Callithrix jacchus: one gene and its partner. The protein of the gene in region 2 interacts with the protein of the main gene of each other region in a biochemical or structural test. Links are inferred from orthologs where the notes say so. Each region holds a gene or a part of one and is shown on either strand. Other genes may lie near its edges. The genes, in order: TRIM62 and CARD9.

The links.
Region 1: of the proteins of CARD9 (region 2) and TRIM62, one has a biochemical effect on the other in vitro, tested with the Homo sapiens proteins (4 studies listed by BioGRID, with this or other methods). The link is inferred for Callithrix jacchus from reciprocal best matches to the Homo sapiens genes CARD9 and TRIM62.

What each region holds. Positions count from the first base shown.
Region 1 is NC_133508.1:69,757,004-69,761,320, forward strand, and holds the start of TRIM62 (E3 ubiquitin-protein ligase TRIM62), read right to left. Parts: upstream 3,043-4,317; 5' UTR 2,417-3,042; coding exon 2,009-2,416; intron 1-2,008. UniProt on the Homo sapiens protein: E3 ubiquitin ligase that plays a role in antifungal immunity by mediating 'Lys-27'-linked ubiquitination of CARD9 downstream of C-type lectin receptors; leading to CARD9 activation, followed by activation of NF-kappa-B and MAP kinase p38 pathways.
Region 2 is NC_133502.1:184,844,028-184,848,328, forward strand, and holds the start of CARD9 (caspase recruitment domain-containing protein 9), read right to left. Parts: upstream 3,055-4,301; 5' UTR 2,907-3,054; coding exon 2,558-2,906; exon of another isoform or gene 2,405-2,557; coding exon of another isoform or gene 2,122-2,404; coding exon 1,984-2,121; intron 1,812-1,983; coding exon 952-1,811; intron 545-951; coding exon 419-544; intron 1-418. UniProt on the Homo sapiens protein: Adapter protein that plays a key role in innate immune response against fungi by forming signaling complexes downstream of C-type lectin receptors.

The DNA of each region.
Region 1 (4,317 bases), on a different chromosome or scaffold from region 2:
TCTAGCCCTGGCTCTCCCACTGTCTGGAAGTGTGGTCTTGGGCAAGTCATATTACCTCTCCAGGCCTCACTTTCCACTCCTACATGATGAAGAGGTTAGACAGATGGTTTCAGACAGAGTCCTTTCAAACTCCTCCTGCTTATGTGACTCCACAGACAGGGAGATGGACAGCAGCAGTGCCTACCACGAGGGCTCTGGGGGTGGAGGGCCAAGCCTTGTGTAGGGTCCCAGAGGCCCAGGCCCTTGCTCACTCTCTGATGGGGCCTTCATTCTCAGACAGCTAGACTGGAAGGGAGTCAGTTGTAGTTTCAAGATAAAAGGGACAGGGAGGGGGCAATGGTGAACATGGGCCATTTCTCCTGAGGCCCATGGGGATCTGCTGGGTGCAGGCTTACTCACAGACTCGTGTATGGAGGGGTTGGGAGCCCCTCTAATACAGGGGAAAGTAGTTATTTAGTTCCTGTTTGGGTATCTTGAGGCCAGAGAGCTCATTACCTCCCAAGTTAGCCTACTCCATTTTCACAAAATGTTTGAACCAAAAACCGTCTGCTTCCAAATGCTCCACAGTCTGGTTCAGCTTAGGCCAGGGTTGGTCATTCTTTCATTCATTAATTCAGCCTTTATTGGTCTATACTGTGGGCAAGGCCTTGCACCAGGCTTTGGGGCTATAGATAGGAGACATAAGATACTGTCTCTGGCATTGGAGAATTATGTGCTCGACTAATATCCCAAAGCCAGGAACATGGGACTGCTGGATTTAAGTGATTTAGCTTGAAAAAAGGATTCCAGGCCCAAATAAACTTGGGAGCCATTTTATTAAACACAATAAAATAGATTTATTTGCAACAAGATTTCTCTAAGCTTTTAATATGCAAACGTACACTGAAAATTCTCCAAGGGGGTGGGTATAAGAAAATATACTACGTTTCCCATATGTATTAATAGAGGGCATTTGGGGAAATACAGTTCTAATGTCTTTTTAAAAATTATCGATTGATTGATTGATTTTGTCAGTGGAGCTTGGAGAAGGCTTCACAGAGAGGACATCTGAGCAGGGCCTTAAGCGTTGAGTAGGAATTTGTCAGTGAAGATGGGAAGTCTTAAGGGAGACCAATTAGAGTTCTAGGTCAACTATGCTAAGTCCCTCTGAATGTACCATTTCACTTAGTCTTCAAAGATCCTGACGTAGGGGACAGAGCCAAAGAGGTCATCAAAAACCCTTGGAGACTCCTAGAGGTCTAGCCCCTCCCTTCTTGAATCACCTTACATCTGGGCCTTATTCTCCAAATCTTTACTTTTCAAGTCCTGGCCCCACTCAACCTGGTCTCTACTCTGGCTTAAATCTAAACTTGTTGTAGAGGATCTGGACCAGCTCTCAGTCAACCCCTCATACAGCTTGGCCTAATCCTCGGCACTCAAACCTGCCTTCTCAACAGTTTGGCACTCTAACTTACACCCCTCTATTAGGTTTCATCCTCACCTGCCCAGCACATTCTAGCCCCCGTACTCCCCTTAATCCTGATGCACATCTGATCCAGTCTCCGCCCCACAGAACCCCCAGCCTGCCAGAGCTTAGTTACCCGGGTTAGTACAGTCCTATCCTCGTGGCCTCGCCCTCAGTCTGACAGTGGCCCTGCCTTTGCCCAGCTCTGATTCAGCTCCGTCCACAACCCTGCTCCAGCCCAGTACCTGGTACAGCTCTGATCTCATTTGTTCCCGCTGTCCCATCCCCGTCCTGGACCTCTCCCTAACCACGGACCAGCCCCTACTCCAGGTCAGTCTCAGATCCCGCGGGTAAGGACTGCCCAAGGCCCCGCCCCTGCCCCGCCCCGCCCCCTCCCCCGCCCTGCCCCGTGTTACTCCTGATAGGGCCCTGACCCTGCCGGCGGCCCCGCCCCGGGACCATTCCGACTGGGTCCGCCCCGCGGTCCAGCCCTGACCCCACCCCCGCCCCAGCCCCACCTCCAGCCCGGCCCCGCCCCCGCCCCAGGCCGGCCGGGCAGCGCACCTGCAGCTCCTCGAAGGCGTCGTCGATGCCGGTGACCTGGTGCTGCTCGTGCAGCGCGGGCTCGTCACAGAAGAAGCAGAGCAGCGCGCGGTCCGTGAGGCAGAAGAGCTTGACCTTGTCGTGAGCCTGGCAGGGTCGCGCGGCGCGGCGCGCGTTGAGGATGGCGTCCAGCGGGAAGGCGCTGTAGCGCTCCACGATGTTGGCCAGCTTGAGGCTGGGAGCCAGCGCCGGCTCGGCGAACGTGCGCCGGCACTCAGGGCAGTCGCGGGCACCCTGCGCCTCCTGCCGCACCCAGTGCTCGGTGATGCAGCGGCGGCAGAAGTAGTGCTCGCACCCCAGGCTCACCGGATCCTGGTAGATGCTCAGGCAGATGGAGCACAGCAGCTCGTCCTTGAGGCTGCACGCCATGGCGCCAGGGGCGGCAGAGAGGGGGGCTCGAGGGGCGGCGGGGCGGCTGAGAGAGCGCGGCGCTGTCGGGTGCAGCACCGAGGGCTGGGAGCCGGGACGAGGCCCGCACAGGCAGGGGTAGGAGCTACCCAAGAAGGGAGGGGGTGCTTTCCGGGAGGAGGGTAACGCAAGGAAGGGGTGCGCAGCTGAGACTCCCCGGGACGCCAGCCCGGGAGGGCAGTCTCGAGGTAGTGGGCAGCCCAAAGCGATGGGCGCCGGAGGGAGGAGGCCGTGGGCGGCTAAGGGACCAGGATCCTGGCGAGGAGGTTCTAGGGGGCGGGGCAGTCCGAAGGGATAGGAGCTGGAAGAAGGGGATCCTGGAGGGTGCTGGAGCCCTCGAGGGGGTCGAACTCCCGGGATGGGGGCGGTGGGGGGAGGGTGAGAAGCTGGGGATGGGAAATCCTGGGGGAGGGGGCAGCCAGGCCGAGCCGCACATTGGCTGTGACCCGCAGAGAAGAGGAGGGTTGCCGGCCCGCTCAACTGGCGGATCCCGGCCCCAAACCCTGGCCCGGGGCAGCCCCTTACCCCCGCGGGCTTAGCAGCCACCGCTTCGGTCCAGCGCAGCCTCTCAACCCGGAACCAGCCGTATCCGAGCTGCCGGCCGCGGCTGCCTCCCCGCCCCCGTGGGCGGGACCCGAGCAACTCCGCCCCCGCAGAGGGCGGGGGAGGGGCGGGGCAGCCAGCCGGTTGACCCCTCCCGCCCCGCCCCCATCATCCTCTAGCTCCCCGGGAAGCGAAGCCCAGCTGTTCCTTCGGGGTGTGTACTTGGAACTGCATCCAGGTCTGGCTTAGGGTCCCCGCGGCGAGGCAGAGCGGGGAGAGCAGCTAATTTGAGAGCACAACAAGTAAACAAGGAGCATCTTTCTGGATCATCGATTTGAAGATTTAGAAGAAATAATATTTTGTATTAAAACGAACAAGAATATGTTAGGAATACAACTTCTGCATAAAATATAAAGCTAAAACTCTCGAAATGCCCTGCTTGCTTAGAGCAAGTTCAAGGCTCTCACACTCCTAAGCCCTGGGGTCCCATTTCCTCTTCACTTTCTTAAGGAGTGCTTGGGGAGAAGTTTGGAAAGCCCTGGCTAACGTCTGGCCTCGGGGGCTGCCTCCATTGGCAAACAATTCTGGAGTGCTGTGTGTGTGTGTGTGTGTGTGTGTGTGTTTGCGTGTGTGTAAGGCCTAGGGGGAGTGAAGCAGGAGAGAGGGAGGAAAAGTAATAGGAGACTTTGTCGTGTGCCAGATGGAGAGGGGATAAGGGATTTCTAGGCAGAGGAGACAGCCTGTGCGAAAGCATAGAGGCGTGAAAGGGGAGGGTGCAGTGAAGGAAGTGCAAGTAATTCTGTACTGTTGGGGGTGGGGTGGAGAAAGGGCCTGGGTGGGCTGGAGGGCATTGTGGGTCCTGGTAAAGAATTTCTTGAAGGCATCAGGCTTTCAGGCAAGGAAATGACCTGGTCCGATTGGGTTTCAGGAAGTCTTGGAGATAATCATTATGCCATCTGCAAGGTGAAGAAGACAGGAAGTTTTTCCAATGTGTCTGCGTATGCACAGCACTCACCACACAGTAAGAGTGTGTAGCTGAATAACCACAGCAATGCCATGAGTTGCAAGAGGAAGGAAAGACTGAGCATCCCTGAGATGCTGTTGTCCTCGTGCCTAGAGAAGGCCAGACCCAAACTGTGGGTGAGGCCCGGACAGTGGGTAAGGAGAGAAGGCTAGGGTATTACAAGTACAGACCCGGTGAAATTTGGTGATGGTTGAATACGGGGGTGAGGGAAATGAGGCATCGAGGGTGGCTACCAGTTTCTGCCTTCTCCAGAAATATCTTCACTGGTGTTAAACTTTATTGAGGTACAGTTTAT
Region 2 (4,301 bases):
AAAAGAAAGAGAAAGGAAGGAAGAAGATGGCAGGGAGGGGAAGGGGGGGAGGGGAGGGGAATATCTGTTAAGATGGAGCGGGATGGTAGAAGTTTCCCCTGACAGCAGGCTGGGATGAGGGAGTATTGACTTCATCAGTTTACTTTTTTTTTAGTGTTAGATATTCCTTCTGTTACTTAAAAAACAGGTCAGTGTGTTGGCTTAACCTGCAATCCCAGCGCTTTGGGAAGCTGAGGCCAGAGGATTTGCTTGAGGCCAGTAGTTTGAGGCCAGCCTGGGTGACATAGCGAGACCCCATCTCAAAAATAACAAAATAAAGATTAAAAACCCTCTGACAACTGCCCTCAAGGCCTGTGGCCCTGGTGCACCCACCTCGAATGGGGCACTCTGTTCCCCAGCCCCCACCGTGAGCACCCACCTGGTCCCGCTCGACAGCGACCTCCTCCATCTGCAACAGGATGGCCTCGATGCGGTCCTTGTACACCTTGCAGTCCTTGCGCAGGGCCCGACACTGCAGCTCCAACATCTCCTTCTCCTCCACGAACTGCAGGGGGTAGCAGCTCAGCCCCCAAGGCCTGAGGCTCCCCATTCTGACCAGTTGGGGGGTGCTCCAGCTAGGAGCTCAGGAACATGGGTCAGGTCAGTCGGGATGTTGGGGGAGGCCATAGGAGCCCCCAGGCCCCTATTACCCCGCCCTTCCAGACCACAGCAGCGCAGGGCTCTCCCCAGGCCTCAGGCACTGCCGTGCCCAGCTACAAGGAGCCCATGGCCTTTGCCATGGGGTGCAGGTGAGCAAGGAGTGATCACCATCCACTGTGCCTCCAGGAGTGGGTGAGTGGAGATGCTGCACTGGGGTCCCCGCACCCCACCTTCCAGACAGAGTGGGCGGAGCTCAGCCCACCTAGCCTAGCATGGCCCCCAGGGGCCACATGTCCTCGCCTGCGCTCGTACCCGGGCGTGACGGGCCTCGCCCTGGCGGAGGTCCTTGCGCAGGGAGAAGATGGTGCTGGCCTGCTCCTGGTGGTCCCGCAGCGCCTGCCTCCAGTCCTCTTCCAGCACCTGGATGTAGGGGCTGCTCCTGTCCAGCTTTCCCTCCTGAAGGGGGCAAAAAGCAATGGCCCAGCTGGGAAGGCCCATGCCACCCTGCCAGGCTGCACCCGCCCCACCTGTGCCCGCCCTGCCCGCAGCCACACCTGAACCGAGGCCTCCAGCTCCTGCACCCGGGCCTGCAGCAGGGCCTTCTCCTGCTGTAGCTCCCACAGCAGCTCCTGGCTGGGCCGCTGCTCCATGGCGTGCCTGAGCTTCAGTGTGTGCTTGCGTTCCACCTTGCAATCGTCCTCGGCCTTCATGAGGCTGTGCTTGAGCCGGTCGATCTGCAGAAGGCCGGGTGAGCCCAGCCATCCACTCCAGGTGCTGACAGCCGACCCACGGGGCTGCCCCCGACCCGCAGACCCCACCAGGCCAGGCGAGGGGGGCCACCCTGGTTCCCTGGGGCAGCAGGCGCACCTCCAGCTGCAGGTCGCGGTTCCGCATGAGCGCAGCGCCCTTCTCCTCGCTCTGGCGCGCCAGGCGCATGGCCAGGTCATAGTTCTCCTCCTTGCAGCGCTTGAGCTCACGGCTGCCGGCCTCGCACTCCTCCTTGAGCCTCTGCACACGCTCCTGGTGCTTGCGTAGCAGGCTGTCCTTCACCCGCAGCTCCTTGATGAAGTCGTCCTTGGAGCTCAGCAGCGCAGTCAGGTCCTGCACCTTCTTCTGCAGCTTCATGACCTCAGTCATCAGCAGCTGTGTCAGGCCTGACTCCCCGGACGCATCTGTGGACCGGGCCAGTGTCAGACAGGGCCCTTGTTCCCTGGCAGTCCAGCTCCATCACGCCTCGCGCTGTGGCAGGAGCTCAGGGCTCCTAAGCATGTGGGCCTGTCGGTTGACCGAGCACCACTGCCCAGCCCCGCCTTCCCTGCTGGCCCTGCCTTCCCCGTCACTCACCGATGATCATGGAGAAAACTCGGGCTGGCTCCTTGCCCGTGACCTTCTTGTACAGTTGCGGGTAGTAGAGCTCTAAGCTCTCGAGGAAGGCCACATAGCCCTTGTGGCCTGTCCGCTGCAGGATATCCAGGAGAACACCTGCAGGCCAGAGAGGCCGAAAAAGGGGCGGGGTGCTGGCGGGGCAGAGGGCTGGGATGGGTGGGCCCGGGGGCGGGGAGAGGTGGAGGCTGGGACGCAGAGGAGGTGTGCTGCTGTCTGGATCGTGGAAGAGGCACCCTGAGGGTCTAGGTGCTAGGCTGGGGGCAGTGCTGCCCACCCACCCCTTGGCTGTCTCAGGAGTCCCTGCTGTGGTGGGAGCCCCATGACCCCTCTTGGCAGCACCGAGCCAGCAAGAGAGGGCTGGGGGGTGGGGCGGCCACATGTCAGGGTTGAGTTTGGGCCTCACTGGGTGGCCAGGGGCAAAGCTGGGTGGGGTTCCTCTGGAGTTGAGGGTCAGGGTCGCAGAGCCTGCAGCCACCTCCGAGCTGGCTCCTTGGTTGGGTTTGGGGCCAGGAGCCTGTGGGACAGCACTGACCTACTTTCCGTTTGCGGATGACCAGGTTGGGGTCACTGAGCACCTGTTCCTCATCATCGGGATTCAGGACCTTGCACTGCCGCAGGTAGGGTGTGATGCGTGAGGGGTCGATGACCGAGGTGAGCGTCACCCGGAAGCCCTCCAGGGCACTCCAGCACTCATCATCGTTCTCGTAGTCCGACATGGCCCCAGCAGGCAGGCTGAGGAGAGTTGGGGCAGCCACTGAGCGTGACACGGCCTCCTGCCCCCACCCAGGCCCTGCTCCCACTCCCTTCTCAGATGCTGGGCCAGGGCTCTTGTCAGGGCTGTCAAGGGGATCAGCCCAGGGGCGTCTAGGAGAGGTGCCCATTCCCACAGCCAGATCCCCCAGGGAGGCAGCAGAGACACAGTGACACCTTCCCCTTCAGGTCCCTCCACAGCCTTTCCTAGCCCCTGCTGCTGCCCCTTGGCCATCCTGTCACCCAGATATGCACCCAGGGAGGCACAGATGGGTCCGAGAGAGGAACCCCCCCTTCAGCATGACCCCCACTCTGGCCTCTGCATCCTGGACACTCCCAATTCACCTTGGAGCCCTGGAGCCTGCAAGGACAGCCACCTCCATGGGTGGAGTGGTGTGAGCACCTGCCTGGCACTCTGGCCAGGCCAAGCTGGGTGAGAGCAGGTTGGCCTGTGACCCTCCCACCAGCACAGCAGCTGGGGGAGCTGGTCCTTCTGGGACTTCCTCATTCCCCTGACCGACACCCGCTCACATCCCGGGCTGTGCCCTCCCTCCTCCATGGCCGGCTGCTGATGATGCAAGAGTTGCCGCCCAGCCCTGCCACAGCTGCCAGGGTCACTGTACCAGCCAGGTAGAGCTGCCCACAGGAGTGTGTCTCTGTCACCCCCCCACTCCCTGGCCCCACAACCCTGGGAGGGGCTGTCAGTGTTGCCCTGGCCAGCCAGGAGTGCTGCTGTGGCATTTTCTCCAGGTTCCTAGGTGCTGGGCACCAGTGAATTCCTGGACTCTTCTGCCCCCCAGCCACCCCCTCCAGGACCATCTCGCTCACTGCAACAAAAGAACTACCCATGTTGGGACCAGCCACTGCTGTCCCTTTCTGCCAGCATGGTAGAAGCCTCCGCCACTGAAAGCCACTCCCTCCGGGACTGTGACTGGGCCAAGGCGGGGAGCACCCACATGGTCCTGCCTCCCACGCAAGACCCTGCTCCTCAGACAGCCTCCAGCCCCGCTGGGAAAGCTGGTTTCCAGCCCAAAGGAGCTGGGTCACCTCTCCTGGAGACAGTTGCCCCAGGCTTAGTCTTGTGAGGATTTTCTCAACTTCCTGCCGTGCTTTGTCTTCCCATTCAGGCCAATTTTGACAAACAGACAAGGGACTAAATAGAAGCACCACCCACACGGCAGACAGTCCTGGGAACACTGGGCCCCTGCCTTGCCTCTCCAGCCTGAATCCAGAGTCCCACCTGCCTCGGCTGGTAATGCCACTGAAATGTACACAGTGGCCGTGAAACGGATGGGGCCGCACATGGAGGCTGCCCGGCTCCCTGTGGAAAGCCTCATGCTGCTCTGGGGCATCAGCGCCAGGATCCTGAATGAGACTGACACCAACCTTCCTGGCCACCTTTCAGAAAAGCACCAGACCTACCCACCTGAGGGTCCAGGACCCACCTGACCGAAGACAAACCAGGAGTCTGGGCTGCAGAGCCTCTGGGAGATGCTACCCGTGACTGCAGGGAAGAGGAGCACGCT